Linked DNA regions of Oryctolagus cuniculus. The protein of the gene in region 2 interacts with the protein of the main gene of each other region in a biochemical or structural test. Links are inferred from orthologs where the notes say so. Each region holds a gene or a part of one and is shown on either strand. Other genes may lie near its edges. The genes, in order: SCN5A and PTPN3.

The links.
Region 1: the proteins of PTPN3 (region 2) and SCN5A form a complex in vitro, tested with the Homo sapiens proteins (2 studies listed by IntAct, with this or other methods). The link is inferred for Oryctolagus cuniculus from reciprocal best matches to the Homo sapiens genes PTPN3 and SCN5A.

The regions. Positions count from the first base shown.
Region 1 is NC_091435.1:174,730,991-174,741,284, reverse strand, and holds part of SCN5A (sodium channel protein type 5 subunit alpha), read left to right. Parts: intron 1-942; coding exon 943-1,224; intron 1,225-2,671; coding exon 2,672-2,725; intron 2,726-3,242; coding exon 3,243-3,384; intron 3,385-4,216; coding exon of another isoform or gene 4,217-4,220; coding exon 4,221-4,321; intron 4,322-4,970; coding exon 4,971-5,241; intron 5,242-7,816; coding exon 7,817-9,057; 3' UTR 9,058-10,294. UniProt on the Homo sapiens protein: Pore-forming subunit of Nav1.5, a voltage-gated sodium (Nav) channel that directly mediates the depolarizing phase of action potentials in excitable membranes.
Region 2 is NC_091432.1:213,235,449-213,246,305, reverse strand, and holds the start of PTPN3 (tyrosine-protein phosphatase non-receptor type 3), read left to right. Parts: upstream 1-5,527; 5' UTR 5,528-5,654; coding exon 5,655-5,703; intron 5,704-10,857.

The DNA.
Region 1 (10,294 bases), on a different chromosome or scaffold from region 2:
TGTGTCTGCTGCGCTGTGTACACAGCGAGGCGCACACCTCGGGAGACACCACCTGGTGTCGCGCCCACAGAGCAGGCACCAGCACCCAGCTCCCCATCCGGCCGGCCGGCGGCTTGAGCCTTGTCCACACTGCAGTGTCGCCGAGACACAAACCGTCCACCAGTGAACACCACCTCTCGGGTCAGGGCCTCTTTGGGAGCAGGGAGACCCCAGGGGCCAGGAAGGCCTGGGCTGTGGCCCCCTCGCCCCATGGGGAGCCCAGGGCCCTTGACAGCTGGGTTTCCTGCGCTACTCCCGGGTTCTGTGTGCCTCGTGGGGAGCAGCACCCCCAGCCAGCCACACCACACAGCCCACCGCTTCCCCTCCAGTCTCCGCGGCAAGCATATGCCTGGCCCTCCAAGGCGGGCACCCCAGAACATCTTCCGGGGAGGCCTCTCCTGGGTGTGGTGGGCTTAGAGGAAAAGCCAGAGGCCGGCATCCCAGGGCCTGAGAGCCCCCTCCCTGGGGAGCAGGCGGCACAGGGGCACCCACGTCCCCTGTCTGGCTCCGGAGCGCTGGAGAGCCCTCAGCGCACCTGCTGGGCACTGAGCGGGGACACCCATCCGTCCCGGAAGCAGCAACCCCAGGGTCAACCAGAAGCCTCGCTCAGAAGGGAAGAGCCGCCAGGCTGAGGCCCGAGGTTTGGAGACGTCTCCACGGGCCCTTCGCCCTCGGGCAGCTCCAGAGCCGGCTATTCGGATCTGGAAGGGCACAGGGCAGGCAGGGCGAGGCCACGAGGGGATCCCAGTTCCGGTGTGCTCGGGAGCTGTGCACTCCTGGCTTCTCCTGCGACCGCAGGATCCGAGCCCCCGCCCCACAGCCCCCGCAGCCAGGGAATTCCGTCAAAAGGGGCCTGCGCCGTGGGCGCCCGCGGGAGCTGAGCCCCCTCTCTGTCCCCTCGAGGTGGTGGTCAATGCCCTGGTGGGCGCCATCCCGTCCATCATGAACGTCCTCCTCGTCTGCCTCATCTTCTGGCTCATCTTCAGCATCATGGGCGTGAACCTGTTCGCCGGCAAGTTCGGCAGGTGCATCAACCAGACGGAGGGGGACGTGCCTCTCAACCACACCGTGGTGAACAACAAGAGCGAGTGCGAGTCCTTCAACGTGACCGGCGAGCTGTACTGGACCAAGGTGAAGGTCAACTTCGACAACGTGGGGGCCGGCTACCTGGCCCTTCTGCAGGTGGTGAGTGCTGGAGAGAGGGACTCCTTCCTCCCATGCGCCTTCCCCGGGGGTGGGCAGGAGGGGGCAGTGGGGCCACGTGGGTCTGCCCGGGCTCCTGGGACGATGCCCAGGATCTCAGTCCCAGAGCAGACGCCGCATTGCCCAGGATGCACGCCCGGGCACCAGAACCCTGGCAGGTGGTCCGGCAGTGGCACAGGGACTGCCGACAAGACTGTGCTGGCCTCCATCTTTGATGTGCAAGACCGGTAGTGTTGGCAGAGTTCAAACACACGGTCCCCCCAGGCTTGGCGGGCCTGGTGGTGTCAGTGTTACAGCATGAACCACGACGTGACCCACGGTTAGCCTGCACCCCAGAGAGGCGCCCAGCCAGCACGCACGCAGATGCGAGGTGCTTGTCCCCCACCCCACGCTTGGGCCCCAGGGCGACGGGCGCTCAGCAGAGCCTCACCTGGAGACCCCCTGCGCATCCACTCACGCCCCCGCCTCCCCCACAGAGACGCCCTAGCGGGCAGTGGAGCTAACGCCCGATGCAGCTGAGCTCCGCCCCCTTTCCAGACAGAGCCACGGGCCCTGGAAGGCCTCGGGAACATCCACCCATCCCGGGGCCGGCCCTCTGCCGTTTCCAAGTGGTCCCGGGGCTGTCTGTGCAGGCGGGGGCCGCTGGCCCCGGCGCTGCGTGGCGCTCCTGTGGGAGCCTCGGCCTCCACTCAGAACTCAGAGAGCCTGTGCTGGGAGGGAGGCTCAGCCCGCGGCTGGGTGTTGACTCCCCGGGCGGGCGGGCGCTCTCTCCCCTGAGCCCGTCTCTTGGGCTCTTTCTGCCTCTCCGCACAGCCTGGACGGGGCAGACAGAGCGACCAGGGCCCTGCCTTAGGTCAGCCTCCTTTCTACTCCGTGGGAGTTGTGCGCTACAGAGCCGCCATCTGTGCAGCCTGCAGACATCTTGTGAAACTAACCAGTTCACTTCCCGGAACTGAGACCTGATGGTGACGACAGAGGCGCTGCTACCCAGAGCGAGCTCGCCGCTCGGTGCTGTTACCATCCGTGCCTGGGGCACCTGTGTCGGCCGTGTCTGCCTTCCCGTCCCTGCACTGTGCTGGGGGAGGCTTCACCCCGGAGAAACGGGCCCACACAGCGACCAGGGATTTGGGGAGCAGAGCACCCCAGTCCCCGCCGTCTGTCCCTGGCACCCGCTGCGAGGGCCCTGAGTTGTAGTGGGCTCTGGGATGCAGACCCGGAGGCCCCGTCAGACTCCGCTCGGTCGAGAGCTTGCTCCCCACGGCACGGCCGCCCTGGAGGGCCGGCCAGCTGCTTCCCCACCACCCCAGCCCTCCACAGGGCACTTTGCCCACTGCCGAGGGGGGGCGTGGGGTGGGGTGGGCTCTCTCCTGGCCCTCTGTGCAGCTCGGAGACAGAGGCCGTGAGTCTGAGCGCCGTCTTCTCTTCCCAGGCGACGTTCAAGGGCTGGATGGACATCATGTACGCGGCTGTGGACTCCCGGGGGGTAAGTGTCCCCGGGGAGCAGGCCTGCACCGGAAGCCCAGCCCAGCAGGGGCACGCGGAGGCTCTGCCTGTGTGAAGTGGCCAGGCCTGGCCCTGGGGCAAGGCCGCGTGGTCTCCCGCACGTCCAAGGTTGCAAATTCAGCTCCGTGTGGCTCCACCAGGAGGGTGCGTGGAAGCAAGAGAACCTTCCTGTCGCCCCTGCACCCCACCCATCACCCTGACAGACCTGGGAGGAGCCCCAGTGGTGCAGGGACTGAAGCCAGACAGCCTCATGCCCCCCACCCCCCGCCCCGGTCCAGCCCTGGCACGCACACACACACACACACACACACACATGTATGCACGTACACACACGCACACATGCACACACACGCACACATGCACGCACACACACACGCACACACACGCACACACACACACATATGCACACACACTCCCTCTGGGCAGGCCTCGGGAGTGGGTGCCCCGCCAGCCGTCGCCAGCCCCGGCCGTCTGACCGCCCCTGCTCCCCCCCACAGTACGAAGAGCAGCCCCAGTGGGAGAACAACCTCTACATGTACATCTACTTCGTCATCTTCATCATCTTCGGGTCTTTCTTCACCCTGAACCTCTTCATCGGCGTCATCATCGACAACTTCAACCAGCAGAAGAAGAAGATACGTGGAGCACGGGCCCTCCCCCCCGCCCGGGCTGGGCGTGGCCGGGCCGCCCCTCGGCTCTGGGCCTCGGCTCCCCTCCCTGCGGCGCGCGCAGGCTTCTTCCTGGGGGAGGGGAGGGCGCCCCCTCCTCGTCTATCAGAGCGAAGCCGGGGGAGGCCGGGCGCTCCCTCGTGTGGGGAGGGGGTCGTGGGTGGGGCCCGTGCAGAGGCCAAGGTCCCACCCTGTCCATCAGAGGGGCTGTGCCTGGATGCAAGCAGACCTAGTTAGTGGGCGGAGAGGACCCAGCACTGGCCGAGATGGGCAAGGGGAGGGCGAACAGGCGGGCTCTGATGTGCACATCACAAACCCAGGGAGACCTCAGGGCGGGCGGGGCGGAGACCCTGCCAAGGCAGGTGTGGGGGCGGGGCGGAGACCCTGCCAAGGCAGGTGTGGGGAGGGGCAGAGACCCTGCCAAGGCAGGTGTGGGGGAGGGGCGGAGACCCTGCCAAGGCAGGTGTGGGGGCGGGGCGGAGACCCTGCCAAGGCAGGTGTGGGGGAGGGGATGGAGACCCTGCCAAGGCAGGTGTGGGGAGGGGCGGAGACCCTGCCAAGGCAGGTGTGGGGGCGGGGCGGAGACCCTGCTAAGGAAGGTGTGGGGGCGGGGCGGAGACCCGCAGGTGTGGGGGCGGGGCGGAGACCCGCAGGTGTGGGGGAGGGGCAGAGACCCGCAGGTGTGGGGGAGGACTTCTGGCTGAGCACAGGGACCCGCCTGCTCGACCCGGAGAGGGAGCGTGGAGGCGGGTGGCTCCGGGACCCCGGACCCCCAGGATGAGGCTGTGCCTGTCCCTCTGCACCTAGGGGGCCAGGACATCTTCATGACGGAGGAGCAGAAGAAGTACTACAACGCCATGAAGAAGCTGGGCTCCAAGAAGCCCCAGAAGCCCATCCCGCGGCCCCTGGTGAGGCGGGCGCCAGGTGGGGCGGAGGGAAGCCCTGGAGGCGCCTCACAGCCCTGCAGCCCCATCAAGGGTGCGCCTGGAGGCGTGGCACGGAGGGTTCAGCCCTGCAGGCGGGACGGCAGGCGGCCTCGGAGCCAGCCCCCTCCTGCCCTTCCTGGGTCGCCAGGGGAGGCAACAGCAGGGCGGCCCCTGGTCTGGCACCGTCCATGTGGTCAGGGGGGAGCTGCCGGGCCCCTGCTGGGCTGAACGCCCCCCCCCAGCCCAATCCACCCGTTCTTGAAAAACACGCGTGTGTGTGCGTGCGTGTGCACGTGTGTCGTCTGTTTCTTCTCTCTCCCCAAAACGATTTGGGCTGGATGACAGCTGAAGACGACGCGCACAGTGTAGTTAGTGGAATAAATGACATCGATTCTGTAAATAGGGTAGAGAAAGCACATTACTTTGGGGGCAGCCGGGGGAGAAAAGTCCAGATTTGACCGGAAGCCTTCAGACCTGGCAGCCGGAAGCAAAGCACAGCACAGCAGGGCAGGGCAGCCCATCCCGGAGACCCTGGGAGGAGGCCCAGAGGGCGGCGGGGGCGGGGCCTCCCTGGGGCCACCCGTCCGAGCGCCCTGTGAGCCCGCCCCAGACGGTGTCCCTGTCCCTGCAGAACAAGTACCAGGGCTTCATGTTTGACATCGTGACCAAGCAGGCCTTCGACGTCACCATCATGTTTCTCATCTGCTTGAACATGGTCACCATGATGGTGGAGACGGACGACCAGAGCCCCGAGAAGGTCAGCGTCCTGACCAAGATCAACCTGCTCTTCGTGGCCATCTTCACGGGCGAGTGCATCATCAAGATGGCCGCGCTCCGCCACTACTACTTCACCAACAGCTGGAACATCTTCGACTTCGTGGTCGTCATCCTGTCCATCGTGGGTGGGTGCGCAGGCCGGCGCGTGGGCTGCCGCGGGGCAGGCCTCACCCCAAGCTGGGTGTCTGCAGTGCCAAGCGCTTGTTCCTCCTCCTCCGCACCCCTCCTCCCTCCCTCTCCCCCTCTCCCTCTCCACCTATCTCCCTCCCTCCTTCTCCCTCCCTCTCTCCCTCTCCCCTCCGTCTCCCTCCCTCTCTCTCCCTCCTTCTCCCTCCCTCCCTCTCCCCCTCTCCCTTTTTCCCTCCCTCTCACTTCCCCTCTCCCTCTCACTTCCCCTCTCCCTCCCTCTCCCTCCCTCTCCCCCTCTCCCTCCCTCTCCCCTTCTCCCACACTCTCTTCTCCCTCTCTCTCCCCCTCTCCCTTTTTCCCTCCCTCTCACTTCCCCTCTCCCTCTCACTTCCCCTCTCCCTCCCTCTCCCCCTCTCCCTCCCTCTACCCTTCTCCCACCCTCTCTTCTCCCTCTCTCTCCCCCTCTCCCTTTTTCCCTCCCTCTCACTTCCCCTCTCCCTCCCTCTCCCTCCCTCTCCCCATCTCCCTCTCCCTCCCTCTCCCCATCTCCTTCTCCCTCCTTCTCTCTCCCCCTCTCCCTTTTTCCCTCCCTCTCACTTCCCTTCTCTCTTCCCCCCTCCCTCTCCCCCTCTCCCTTTCCCTCTCCTTCTTTCTCCCTCCCTCCCCCCCACACACACTGGGGGCCACATGTGTGTGCTGACCTCCAGAGAGCACGCGGCTCAGGTCCCCGTCCTGGCCGCATCCCGGGGCCCCTGGGGCTCAGCTCTGGCTGCTCGGGAGGCTGGAGGCTGAAGTGGGGTAGGAAAGGGCGTGAGTGCTGTGGCGGCCTCCTGCCCTCCCGCAGGAACACCCGCGCTCCTGGTTGAGCAGGGGCAGGCTGAGCTGAGTCCCGGGGAGTGAGTGGCAGCAAGCCACTGGGCTACACTGCGGTACTTGGAACATTCTAGAATCTCACCACCAGGGCATGTGGCAGGCTCCTTCAGGGCCCCTGGTGATGTCAGTGTCGCAGGAGGCACAGTGGAGAGAGGACCCTTACCCACGTGTCTCAGCCTCAGCGCTGCCTTACGGAACAGCTCACTGAGAGAGCGTGACTTCCACAGGAAGGTCAGCGCTGCACTCTGGTCTTCAGTGTGTGCAGAGCCGGGCGGCTGTCACCTGTGTGGTCTGCACCTCCCAGACTCCGCCCACTTAGTAGTCACTCCGCCTTTCCCTGGCAACCATGCATCCAAAGTTTTGAGTCCTGCCAGACTTGTCCTAGCTTGTCCGAGCGGCTCCACGGTGTTCCGGGTGGGGCTGCCAACACCTGCTGGTGTCCTTATCAGAGCTCTCCTAAGGAGCTGGAAACACCTGCCCCGGAGGCGGGGGGGGGGGGGGGGGGGGGCCTGCACTGCCCCGGGGACTGATGGTGTGCCGGATGCTAGTCCCTTATCAATACGGCTTGCATGTATTTTCTCCTGGTCTTGGCGTTGGTTTGGTTTAGTTTGGCTTCGATGTCCTGGTTGTATCTCTCAAAGCACAAAGTCTTCCATTTTGGTGAAGAAGTTTGTAGTTCTCCTCTGGTGCCTTGTGCCCAGGGCCCAGGCTTTGACTTCAGCCCCACGGGTGCCTTGGGCACAGGGATGGGGCTGAGGTGGCAGATGGGGGGAGGCCCCGGGCGGTGGGGAGGGGAACTGGAGAGAAGCTTTAGGGAGTGCAGGTGCGGGCAGCAGGAGCGGTGGCCTGGAGGGACAGGCGTGGATGCCCGGGGACGCGGGCACTTGGGCCACCCTGGCGAGGCCGGCTGGGAGCCGGGGTGTCTGGGTCGGGCCCCAGCTGTCCACTGGGTGGACGTCCCCTGAGCTTCGTCATTTGGAGACCAGGGCATCCCTGACTGGCAGTAAGCACTGGACACCGCCAACCCGTGGGGGCTCCGCGGGGCCCTGGGCCATGGCAGGCAAGCTCATTTCACTCTTCCTCCCGCAAGCTTTAGAGAGCGAGGGGTCCCCGCCACTGGTTTGCTTTGCAAATACTCACAACGGCCCAGGAGCTGGAGGTCAGAAACTCGGTCAGGTCTCCCCAGCCTCGCGAGCCATCACCACTGCTTCCCAGGTTTCTACACCAGCAGGAAGCTGGAGTCAGAATAGAGGCCCGGGTTGAGCCCAGCACCTAGGCCAAACGCCTGCCCCTCCCCCGGGTACCTCCGTGCCCCTTCAAGCCCCTGCCCCGGGTTGCTGGGGACTCGGGAGTGGGGGACCCTGATTCTCGGGCCCGGCCTCCTTCCGCTCGCCGTGTACACAGATCTGGGCTCGGCAGAACACTGCGACGGGCTGGGGTCACCTCGAGGCTGCCGGTCCCGGTGCCCTGGCAGAGTGGCAGCTCCGAGGCAGGAGCTGTGGTCCGAGCTGGGCTTCCCCAGGTGCCAGGCGAGTCCCCTGTGGCGTGGATGCGGCTGTGTGCTGGGAAGGAGCCAGGGGTGGCTTCCACAGCGCGGGGGAGGGTCCTCACAGACAGAGCCCGCGACGCGGGTCCCGGGCCCCCGGGGGTGGCGGGGCCGTGGGAGGCCGGCGGCCGCAGGCTGTGCTGTCCCCGCAGGCACCGTGCTCTCGGACATCATCCAGAAGTACTTCTTCTCCCCGACGCTCTTCCGCGTCATCCGCCTGGCCCGAATCGGCCGCGTCCTCCGGCTCATCCGCGGGGCCAAGGGCATTCGCACGCTGCTGTTCGCCCTCATGATGTCGCTGCCCGCCCTCTTCAACATCGGGCTGCTGCTCTTCCTGGTCATGTTCATCTACGCCATCTTCGGCATGGCCAACTTCGCCTACGTCAAGTGGGAGGCCGGCATCGACGACATGTTCAACTTCCAGACCTTCGCCAACAGCATGCTGTGCCTCTTCCAGATCACCACGTCGGCCGGCTGGGACGGCCTGCTCAGCCCCATCCTCAACACGGGGCCGCCCTACTGCGACCCCAGCCTGCCCACCGGCAGCGGCTCCCGGGGCAACTGCGGCAGCCCCGCCGTGGGCATCCTCTTCTTCACCACCTACATCATCATCTCCTTCCTCATCGTGGTCAACATGTACATCGCCATCATCCTGGAGAACTTCAGCGTGGCCACGGAGGAGAGCACGGAGCCGCTGAGCGAGGACGACTTCGACATGTTCTACGAGATCTGGGAGAAGTTCGACCCCGAGGCCACGCAGTTCATCGAGTACTCGGCCCTGCCGGCCTTCGCGGACGCCCTGTCGGAGCCGCTGCGCATCGCCAAGCCCAACCAGCTGAGCCTCATCAGCATGGACCTGCCCATGGTGAGCGGGGACCGCATCCACTGCATGGACATCCTGTTCGCCTTCACCAAGCGGGTGCTGGGGGAGTCGGGCGAGATGGACGCCCTCAAGATCCAGATGGAGGAGAAGTTCATGGCGGCCAACCCGTCCAAGATCTCCTACGAGCCCATCACCACCACGCTGCGCCGCAAGCACGAGGAGGTGTCGGCCACGGTCATCCAGCGGGCCTTCCGCAGGTACCTGCTGCAGCGCTCCCTGAAGCACGCCTCCTTCCTGTTCCGGCAGCGGGCGGGCAGCGGCGGCCTCTCGGAGGAGGACGCGCCCGAGCGCGAGGGCCTGCTGGCCCGCACGATGAGCGAGCACTTCGCCCGGAGCCCCGGCCCGCCCTGCAGCTCCTCCGTCTCCTCCACGTCCTTCCCGCCGTCCTACGACAGCGTCACCAGGGCCACCAGCGATAACCTCCCGGTGCGGGCGTCCGACTGCAGCCGCAGCGAGGAGCTCGCCGACTTCCCCCCGTCTCCGGACAGGGACCGCGAGTCCATCGTGTGAGCCTGGCCCCCTGGCTGGCCAGGACGCGCCGACAGGCGGCCATGGCGGCGTGACAAGCCAGCACGCGCTGGGGGCCACCTGCTGGGGCCGTGGTTCTGGCCCTGTGGCTGCAGGTGGGCAGCTGGACCGGCGGGCGATGGGGACCCAGCCTGTCCCCCGGAGCCCCACCTGTTCCAGTGGCCTGGCCTGCCCAGGGAGGGCACCCAGGGGCTCCAAGAAGCAAACCCCATGCCAGCTGCTAAGAATGGAAAACAGACTATGTTGCGAATGGGCTTTCATAAATTTATTATATTTGATATTTTTTTACTTGAGCAAAGAACTAAGGTTCTTGGTTTTCTCCTGTGGGCGGCGGCGGCCTCTCAGCCCTAGGCTGAGGTGTCTTGGGGGCAGCCAGAACTCTGCTCTCAGAGTAGCGGGGTCGGCCCTGCAGGAGTGGACGCCTGGAGGCCGGGGCGCCCTTCCTGGCTTACAGGAGTATTACAGGCACGAGGGAGCCCGCAGCCTCCCCGGCAGGCCGAGCCGTGTGGGCCACGGCGGTCCATCCACCCTCCAAAGACGGGCCTCAGTTCCCTCTAATGACCACGTGGGGGCGGGGAGTCCTGCGGCCCCGCCCCCGGCCCCTCTCCCAGGCCCAGTGTGGGATGGGGCAGGGCTGAGCCCGGGCCTCTGACGGACAGAGCAGCGGCCCTGGCTCCCTGACACGGCCTGGCACAGCCCTGAGGTCGGCTGCTGCCTGTGCGGGCCTTCCGGGGGCGGGCGGGGGAGGGGCCAGCTCACCCCCCCAGGTCCGTGAGAGGCGTTTTCAGGGAAATCTCCCCAGGACCTGTTGCGCTGCTGCCAGTCCCACGTAGCACATGCAAATCCTTCAGGGTGGAGACCGCGTCCCCGGGGTGACAGGTCCCGCCTGCCTCGGGCGTCCACCTCGCGGCCACCTCGGGCTCACCGCCTGACCTACCTCGCCGAGCTGCCCGAGGCCTGGACGCTGGCGAGGCTCGGGGCAGTGCTGAGGGGCGGTGTCGGCCAGTCAAGTGTTACGTGCCCCCGCCCCCGCCATCGCCCCAGGCCCCTGCCCGCCCCCTGGACTCTAAGTCTCGGCCCGAGCCGGCCAGGCTTGGAGAGGGTGCCCGGCCCTGGTGCACGCGGGCTCAGGACGGCGGCTGCGGTTTCGTGTGCATGGACAGCCGGAACCTGTGTCAGACAGGTGCCCGGGGCCGGCTGCAGGGGTGTGGCCGAGGGC
Region 2 (10,857 bases):
GTGTAGGAGAAAGGGTTAATGCTTTATGCAAGATTGAGCTGTTTATGGAAAAGAATTAAAAGACAACAGGCTCGTTGGTAAATACTTCCCACTAGAATAAAGATAAATGTTATTAAAGCTTAAATTCAACATATGCTACAAATACTACAATGGTTAGGATGTCAAAACTGTAGAGCAGATCTAAGTGAACCTTTAAATAAGTCCAATAAAGAAATTAGAGTTAAAGAAAGAACTGCACAGAGGGGATACATTTTTTAAAAAAGGGCCTGCTTTGAACTTGGATTAGGAAGGTACTATTCTAGCTTGTGTAACCAATTTCTGCATAGCTCAACAGCACTCCAGGCCTTGGCTTGTGTGGGCAGCCCGTTGTCTCGTCTGTGATTGTAACCCATGCTCTGAATAAGCCTTTGAAAATCAAAGAAATTGTACTTAGAAAAAAAAATGGACAACAGACTCGTTATTGTGAGAAAAAAAGAATCATTATTTGACTTATGATATAAAAATATAGTCTGGTGCTTGAGAGCCAGAGCCCTGCCATCAGCCTTGCTGTGAGTGTCTCTCATTTCTCTCACACCTTGGGGCCCCTGGACTGGCTGGAGCTGGTCTCCGGCAAGTTACAACTAAAAATGATGAACAGATATAACATACAGCCCCTTGAAAAGTAAGCAAAAACAGGCAGATACAGTAGCAAATTTCTTGGGTTTTCTTCCCTTTTCTGTTGTGTCACAATCATGGAACTGTGGTGGTAGCCGTGGAGGCAGTCAAAAAATTGTTTCTCTGGTCAGGAAATTGGAGAGAGAGGCTTCTGCAGTCTCAAAGCAAGGGGAGAACTCCTGTTTCCTTTTTCTGTTTTTCCCTTTGGTTCTTTGCCTAAAGATGGGTCCCCATCACAGAAGTCTGCTACAGCAGGAAGGCTACAACAGATAAACGTGTAAGTAAAACCCCTTCCTTCTGGGCAAAGCATCAGAGCATGTGAGCTGGACCACAGGAGAAAGAATTTCCCAATTCTGTGTGTGAACCTTCATGACTGTTAAGCCTAACCCTGAGCTGTGTATGCATAGGAAAGACCCAGTGCAGTACAGAAAACGCCTGGAAAATGGAACCATGATTTTAACCACCATCCAGGTCTCAGATCAGTCCATGAACAGCACGAGACAGACCCAAAACACCTTAGCAAAGATTTGAAAACCAAGCTTGTACTGGAACAACCAACTACAAAAGGAGACATAGAACTTGCAACCTGACTCTAACAAGGCCTGCTGAAACACAAAAATCAACATTGCCAGACATTTTAGGAAGAATCAGAGTCACATGATATAATATTTAAAATGTCCAGAACATGATCCAAAATTAATCAGCATATGGAATTATGGAAATCACGTCAAGATGCTAGCCCTTGAATGGTCTCAACATTGGAACTGTCAGACATTTAAGCAGTAATCACAACCATGACCCATAAGATAAAGGAGAACTCTCTTGAAATAAACAGTAAGATGAAAGTTCTCTGCAGACAACATACGATCTGCAATAAAAGATTCCCTGGTGGATTCAACTGCAGAATGGAGAAGACAGAACATGAACATTGACAGAACATGAACACGAACATGAAAAATGATTAAAATAAATTAATAGAAATTAATCTGAATAACAGAAAGAACAAAGGTTGAAAAACAATGAACAGAGCCCTAGACACTTGTGGGGCAAAGTTAAAAGTTTCAACATTAGTATTACTGGAGTCCTGGAAGAAAAGATTAATACAGGAAACACATTTGAAGAAATGATGGCCAAAATTGCCCACATGCAGTGAAAGAAATAAATATTTACAAACTTGAGAAACAGTACATTTCAAACAAAATCATGCCCAGGCACATCACAATAAAACTCCCAAACATCAAAGAAAAATGTTGAAAATCTTATAAGAGCCTAACAACACATTACTTCTAGAGGAACAGTAACTTGAATGAATTTTGATTTCTCACCATAAACCGTCCAGGCCAGATGAACAACATCTTTAGAGTATAAGAAGAAAAGCACTTTTAAGCCAAAATGCATGAAGGGAAAAAAGCTGATAGAACTGAAAGGAGAAATGGATAAATCCATAACCATACTTGGAGAGGTCAACATTTTCCTCTCAGTAATTGACAGAACAAGTACACAGAAAATTGATAAACATATAACAAAGCTAAGCCGGCGCCGTGGCTCAATAGGCTAATCCTCCACCTTGCGGCGCCGGCACACCGGGTTCTAGTCCTGGTTGGGGCGCCGGATTCTGTCCCGGTTGCCCCTCTTCCAGGCCAGCTCTCTGCTATGGCCAGGGAGTGCAGTGGAGGATGGCCCAAGTGCTTGGGCCCTGCACCCCATGGGAGACCAGGAAAAGCACCTGGATCCTGGCTCCTGCCATCGGATCAGCGCGGTGCGCCGGCTGCAGCGGCGGCCATTGGAGGGTGAACCAACGGCAAAGGAAGACCTTTCTCTCTGTCTCTCTCTCTCACTGTCCACTCTGCCTGTCAAAAATTAAAAAAAAAAAAACATATAACAAAGCTGAATAACTCTCAACAACTTAGTCTGATAGACATTTATAGAGTTTGCTACCCAACAACAGCAAAAAAAAAAAAAAAGGCATTCCTTTTGCATTTACATAGAAAATTCATCAAGACAGGTGATATTCTGGGCCTGTGATTAAGCTTTAGCAAATTGAAATGAATTGAAATCAAATTGTGAATAATATTCTACTATCCCCCAACCATATTAGTATTTGCATAGAAAAAATATGGGAGAACTTTTTATGTGGGTTGGGGTATAATAGGGGCTGTTCACTTTCTGCTATATACATCTGAGTTTTAATATTTTATACAGTCCAAGTAGTATTTTTGTAACCAGGAAATAATACTGAGAGTTTTCTGTTCTCGTTGTTTGAAGACAGGTACAGACTTTTGTTTCCCTCAGAGTAAGTTTTCCCATTTAATTCACCAGGCCACTAGAATCCACGTAACTCCAATACCATTAAAAACTCAGGGCCATCGGCCCCCTCCCTCCCTCCACGTCCCTTCTTTCCTGCTTCCTTCTGGTAGTGGGTGACCATGACCACATCAACAACCAAGATATCATGTTTATCCTGATAGACTTTGTGTCTTTTTTCCATTAATGGACTTCTCTATCACTACTAGGAGTGGGAAGATCTTAGCTATTTGAATTTCCCTCTCATTGGAATCGTATACAAACCAGGACTTTACTCTGACTGAGGGTAGGAACAACACTTCATATCAAAGTACTTTGTGTCAAAGATCCAGATCTAAATCATTGCTCTGTCTCTAACCAGCTGTGAGAACTTGGGCAGCCTATTTTATTTGATTGGCCTCAGTTTCTCCATCTGCAAAACAAGTTGACAGAGATTGAAAAACACACTTGCAAATAGTAATCCTTCTTTGCCTTCTTTATCTACTGAGGAAAACTGTCTGTTTCCTTTGGGCTCTTCTCCTTCCTCCCCAGAACCTCACCCGCTTCCCCTAGCTTGCCAAGGGTGGTTTCCCACCATGCTAACAATGATTCTATCCTGTTGGTTGTTTCCCCAGATCTGTTATGCACAGCAGGTAATATTTGACTTATATTGAAAAGGACAGACAGCAACTGGTTTGGAAAAGAAAGAAGAAAAGGAAAAAGGGAAAGATGGGGGAAGCTAAAGCAGAAAGAGATGGAGAAAATTTTTTTAAAAAACTATGCCAGCCCAGCTTTGGGAGATTTAGGGGTGCGAGTTTAGACTAGGGAAAAGGAGAGCAGGGTATGAGACAGCTAATGGATGAGTGGGTAGATAAAATCATGGTCAGAATGAATAGGGAGGGAAGGAGAGGAAACATTAAAGAGAGGATGAAAGAACAGGGGGCATTTGTTCTGTGCAACTGACAAACTCTCTTTCAGGACTTTTTTGAGAGACAGTAGAGGTTCAACTTACTGTGTGATTCAACATGCAATAGTGCCTAGAAAAGACCACTGAGCAACCCCAATTCTTTGTGGGCAACACAGGGATAGCTCTCTTCATTCTTAACCAGATGGAAAAGCGCCAATGAGATCAAAATTATACAAACTATAATTATACAACATTATACAAATTTATACGAAATTATAATCGTTCCATTATCAAGTTTTCTTTGACTTTCTACTCAGTTCTTCGTTCAAATCGTTTACCCAATGCCATAAGCACCAAACTGTTTGGGTAGCAGGGAAATTGCAGGTAGGGTTGTACAGTCTTCACTCAGGTCTTTGAGAAAGGGACAGGGGTCACCTTCCACACCCTCCCAGTCAGCCAGCAACACTGAACTAGTTTAGACCATGTGTACTGCTGCTCGCCTGCATCCCCCTTTAGAGCCACCTCTGTGTGTTTTTCTGCTTCTCTTACTACACCGTGAACATAGTGGGCCAGAAATACCACCTGCTCATCCCCACCCGCTCCATCCAGCAGAGAGCTGAATGCATGTTAGGTAAATTAACTTGGGATAGTATTATGAGACATTAGTAGATTCTCAATCTCTCTCTCTCTCTCTCTCTCTCTCGCTCTCGCTCTCCCTCCCTCTCTCTCTCTCTCTCTCTCACACACACACACACACACACACAAATGACTTCAATTTATATACAACCCTGGAGAGGAGCTGATAAAACCTAAAATTGACTAAGTCTCTGTCACCAGGAATAATTGAGGGCCTATAAGAAAATCTAACTCAAGTCATAGAAAAACTAAGCTACCTTTGTTTTGCACATCTGAATTTTGAGCCCCAAAGCTCAGGTGCACTACAAATGTTTGTTGATTAAATGAAATAATGAGTGTTGGGGATAGGGTGTTTCTCCAGCAAGCTCTTGGTGGAGTTGTCTTGGCTGCTTTCCAAGAAAGATGGTAATTATTACAAAGAGCATCTGCTTTCTGGTCCCGGCATGGCCAATTATTAGCCATGGCTCCTGCAGTAAGTTTCAAGTCTTCCTATCTGTAAAATGGGGTTAAGATACTTGCCCTGCCCTCCTCACAATGTTATCAAAAGGATGCAATGGGATAAAGTATGTGTAGGTCCTTCACATGGGACTAGCATGGGGATCACCCCTAGCTTGTGGTCCAGGAAGCAAGACAAAAGTAAGAATGAACTCACAGATCAGAGTTCTCCAATGCCCCTCTTTTTAACCACACCAGTTTTCTAGAACTGGAAAGGAACCGTGACTAAATTCTCCCTGGAACCACATCAGTGCTAAGTGGAGGCTGTCACGGCTCGCACTCGCCAGACCCACAGCAGGCACCACGAAGATATTCTCAAGGCAGAAGACAGAGATATTTGCATTGTGAAATAATCTGTCTGCTATGTGACAACAAATTAAGCCCTGGGTGACTATTCCCATAAAACACGTCCTGTGCTGAGCACTGCTATTATGGGGTGGATAGACCTGGTAAAGAATCAATTAAAACTCTGACACATTCGATGGAGCGCCAAGACCTGTTTCACAGGTTTCCCCAGAGGAAAATCATCATGTTACATTACGCTTTGGAAGGCGATCGAGGCAAGATTTCCGAGACAAGTGCCGAGATTTACAAGACAGATTTCAGCTTTTCCAAATCCTCTTTTGAAGTGCTATTCAAAGGATTACAGCATTCAAGTCACCATTAATCCAAGAGCATCATGGTGGAGCAAGAGGAGTCGCCGTCCTGTGAGCATGCCCCAGAACGCTGTAAGTTCCCTTACAAAACGCATTTTTAAAGAAATCGTAAAAATGTTGCAAGGTGGATGTGTATACCCGTTTTTGAAGTTAAGGAAGTAAGACAGGTGGGATGTTAAAACTGGAATTCCTTGCTATTTGTAAAATAGGGCTGATCTACAACAAGGGGCAACTTTTGTTTGGGAACATTTTTAAATGCAGTTGTAGAATTTCGAGAAGAGCCTCATAAAAGGTGAACAAGAGGGTTGATCGTGGAAGAGAAAGAAAGTCTGTGGTTACCACTGCTTAAACTAAGTTTCTATGACAGCAAGTGGGAATGGTAATGAAAAGAGCAATGTGGGGATTTTTTTTTTTTTTTTTTTTTTTGGCTAATTCAGACATCTGTGTGACCATCTTTTAATCTCATTGCCTGAAATAACTTCAGTCAGGGGTTTTCAGGTTCATGCAGCCTCTCTTCAGAAGCAATGCCTACATGTGAGCTTCAGCAGAAAGAGGGAACCGGGCAGGACCGAGACAAGTCAGCATCAGCAGTGAGCGCAGTTGAGGGCCAAGCCAGGCTGAGCTGAGCGAGGTGGTCAGCAGGGTGGGAAGTGGGTCAGGGGGTTGGGCCAACCCCTGACCCTGCAGACTCATTCAGAAGCAATGAGAGAAAAGACAACAGGAGGGTGGCATGTAAGTGTTACACTCTCAAGACATCTCCCCAGGAGAGAGAGAGAGACAAAGACAGAGAGAGAAAGAGAAAGGGAAATCCATGGCACAAGGACAAGGCCAGGCCTGCCCGCTCACGTGCTCAGCTCTGCTACGGAGCAGGACGTGCTCAGAGAAATGCTCTCATGGTGCAGGAATCTGTTCAGTTAGAAAAGTAGAAATGCCTGGTGCTCCTGCTCCCAAAATCTGACCGCGACATCTTTATTTTTTTCAGGATAAGCAGTTGAGAAGAGTTAGGGGGAATGGAGACCCCATTTTTAGCCAAGCATACTATTCACTATAATTTTTCAAAAAGATTGTTGGGCTCTTTTCTTGTTGGAGTTGCTGTTTAAATCCTTCAGGTTTCCTCTATTGGTTGAGGAAAAAAAAATGTTGCTGCAGAATAATGCATACGTGTATCTGTTAATGCCTTCTTCATCTTGTACAACAGGGGCCTCTGAGAGCTACAGATGGGGGCTCAGAATATGCAGTAACCTTGCAGTCTCAAAGCCTTGCCAAGGTCCTTGGGGCTATTGAGAGACAAGATGTCAGGCCAGGTCCCCACCCTGCTCTGCACTCTGCCCTCCCCCCAGCTCTCTGCAGATGCACATTCCAACATTTCCCCAGGAGCTCATAGTGGGCAGGTGGAGGGGGGATGTTTCCACTCTTTGAAGCAAACAAAAAAAAAAAAAAAATTGAGTATCCCTGGATGAATGTTTGGCACAGCAGTTAAGATGCTACTTGGGGTACCCACACCCCACATCAGAGTGCCTGCTTTCAGTCTCTGCTCGGCTTCTGATTCCAGCTTCCTGTTAATGCACACCCTAAGAGGCTGCTGCTATTACTTGGGTCTCTGCATGCATGTGGGAGACCTGGATTGAGTCCCTGGCTCTTGGCTTCAGCCAGGCCCAAGTGGGCTGTTGTAGGCATTTGGAGAGTGAACCAGTGAATAGACGGTCTCCCTCTGTCAATCTGTCTTTCAAATAAAATGAAAAATAAATAATTTTTAAATCAAATATCATTAAAATAGTCAACTTTCTCATTTGAAAGAAAGGAGAATTTAATTTCTCAGAGAATTATAATGAGTTAGTCAAAGGCAAACCAGCAATATAATCCCAGTGAATGGATAACTAGTTTACTATACTGGTCTTCCTTTTCTCTTTTCTCAAAGGAGTTGATAGAGTCTTCTCTATCTCACCCACTCTCCACTTTGACCCAGTTCCTTACTCATAGTCCAAAACCTTATCACAGCATATCTTCCAATGGGTAAAGCCACATGTAACCCCTCTGTGGTTAATACAATCCCCCCAACACTGAACACCTGCTTTGTGCAGCCCCGTGCCAAGTCCTAGAGACCTGCAGATGAACAGGACACAAACCCTGCATTCAAATATATTATAATCTGTTAGGATCAAAAAGATCTGAGAACTGTGCTATGAAAGACATTTTATTGACTGCACTCTATTTTTGAAAAACAACAGAAAGGGAAGGAAAACAGTGCACCGATTCCCTAAAATGTCAAACACAATCAATCCTCTTATGGTTCTGTAAGTCCATATGGATGTGTGTATATGTGTGTGTGTATGTGTGTATAACATATATGAGTCATATATATAATACATACTATGACTCATCTATTATATCATTGTATATAATATTATATTGATTACTATATATAATAATATATGTAACATGCGTATAGCCAAAAGAATTGAAAATTGGTACTCAAACAAATATGTGGACACACATGTATTAAAAGTATCCAAAAGGTAGAAACAACCCAAACATCCACCAATGGATGAACAGATCAACAAATTGTGATACCTCCATACAATGGAATATTACTCGGCCATAAAAAGGAAGGAAGGAAGTTCTGATCCATGCTACAATGTGGATGGGTCTTGAAAGTATTCTACTAAGTGAAAGAAGCCAGACACGAGAGGCGTCACACTGCATGACTGCATTTACACGGAATATCCAGAACAGGCAAATCCACACATACAGGAAGAAGATCGGTGGTTGCCAGAGATTATAAAAGAGGACAATCAGGGAAGTGACTGCTAGTGCAACAAGGTTCCTTTTTTGGGGAAGCATGAAAATTTTCCCAAACTGGATAATAGTGATCAATGCACAACATTGTAAATACATGAAACATCAGTGAATTATTCTGTTTAAAAGTTACTTTTATGTTATGTGAATTTCACCTCAATTTTTTTAAAAATTTATTTACTTATTTGAAAGGCAGAGTTGCAGAGAGGCAGAGGCAGCGAGAAAGAGGTCTTCCATCCACTGGTTTACTCCCTGGATGGCCACAACAGCCGGAGTTGGGCCGATCCGAAGCCAGGAGCCAGAAGCCAGAAGCCAGGAGCTTCTTCTGGGTCTCCCATGCAGGTGCAGGGCCCTAAGGACTTGGGTCATCTTCTACTGCTTTCCCAGGTCTTAGCAGAGAGCTGGATTGGAAGTGAAGTAGCTGGGACTCACCCATATGAGATACCAGCACTGCAGGCAGCGGCTTTACCCACTACGCCACAGTGCCAGCCCTCGCCTCAGTTTTAAAAAGAGAAGAGAAAGGAATGTAAAGGGCTCTAAAGAGGCTCTGTGGAAGCCAGGGAGCAAGCTGGTAAGATTCGTAGAGGATCAGTTCCTGCAGGCCTGCAAGGTCCCTGGACTCGATCTTGGGAGAAGTGGCATCCCCAGTAGCTTTCAGCAAGAGGATGCCTTGATCAGATCTCTGGTTTAGACTGGACATTCTGAGTGGAGAACTGACCACAGTAAGGCGGTTCTGGTCTCGCTGAAACACACTGGCTGGCCCAATGTGAAATCACAAGGCTCATACCCATATGTAAAATACCTGTCCGAGCAAGGTCTAAGGTTAAGTGGCTGGAATCCTGTCCCGCTAAAATTGAAATCAGAAATTTTAACTTCAATGAAAAACAGTAGCCACAGTTCTTTTGAGATCGATTTTTTTTATACCACATAAGCCCATCTTTTTGCATTCTACCAGCTTTGATATTGATAGGGTTTTAAAAGCAAAATTAAAGTGCTTCCTGTTCCTCTACAGATTACTCAAAAAGATTTGCCCTTGAACAAATACTTCAGCAAGGAGGCAAGCCTGTTCTGGATGAAAGCAAACTGCAATCCAAAAATAGGTTTGAGAAATAAGCCAAGATCCAAAATTAATACATTTGTCTCAGTCTCAATTTTGGCACTATTAGCATGTCAAGAACTTCTGCACACTGTAATATTTTTGAAGTAGCCAGTTGGATTACTTTTTGTACAGAGAGTAAAAGTTTTAATTTTTATGATCTGCTCCATTTGCATCTAAGCACTAAATTCAATGTAACCTGTCAGAATCATATAGAACTAATCAAGCCAAACTTTGAAGGGCATTCCAAAGATCTCGAACCTATAGTGGTGGCTCTGCTGGTCAGCTTCCCCAGGTCTTTTTTTTTTTTTTTTTTCTGACAGGCAGAGTGGACAGTGAGAGAGAGAGACAGAGAGAAAGGTCTTCCTTTGCCGTTGGTTCACCCTCCAGTGGCCGCCATGGCTGGCGCGCTGCGGCCGGCGCACCGCGCTGATCCGATGGCAGGAGACAGGTACTTCTCCTGGTCTCCCATGGGGTGCAGGGCCCAAGGACTTGGGCCATCCTCCACTGCACTCCCTGGCCACAGCAGAGAGCTGGCCTGGAAGAGGGGAAACCGGGACAGAATCCGGCGCCCCGAACCCGGTGTGCCGGCGCCGCAAGGCGGAGGAATAGCCTAGTGAGCCATGGCACCAGCCTTCCCCAGGTCTTTCTAAACTAGTGCCCAAGAGGCCTGAGGGAAATCCAAAGGCTGAGATGTTTCCTGGACTTTGAGTGCTAAAGTCAAAACACCACATGGGGGCTGGCATTGGGGCACCGCAGGTTAAACAGCCACTGGCATCCCATTTGGGAGTTCAAGTCCCAGCTGCTCTACTTTCCATCCAGCTTCCTGGTAATGTACCTGAGAAGCAGTGGAGGCTGACCCCGGTGCTTAGGCTTGTGCCACCCATGTGGGAGACCAGGGTGGAGTTCCAGGCTCCTGGGTCAGCCAGGCCCAGCTCCACCCATTGCAGTCATTTGGGGAGTAAATCAGCAGAAAACACTCTCTGCTCTTCTTGCTCTCTCTCTCCTCTCTCTCTTTCTTTGACACACTGCCTTTCAAATAAATAAATGTAAAAAAATTGCAGGGCCCAGTTTCGACCTGCACCAAAATCTCTTCCAAAATTCTCTCTTTGATATTGGATCCATTTCATTTAGAAAGCAACAGCAGGCGCTGCAGCTCACTAGGCTAATCCTCCGCCTTGCGGCGCCAGCACACCGGGTTCTAGTCCCGGTCGGGGCGCCGGATTCTGTCCCGGTTGCCCCTCTTCCAGGCCAGCTCTCTGCTGTAGCCCGGGAGTGCAGTGGAGGATGGCCCAAGTTCTTGGGCTCTGCACCCCATGGGAGACCAGGATAAG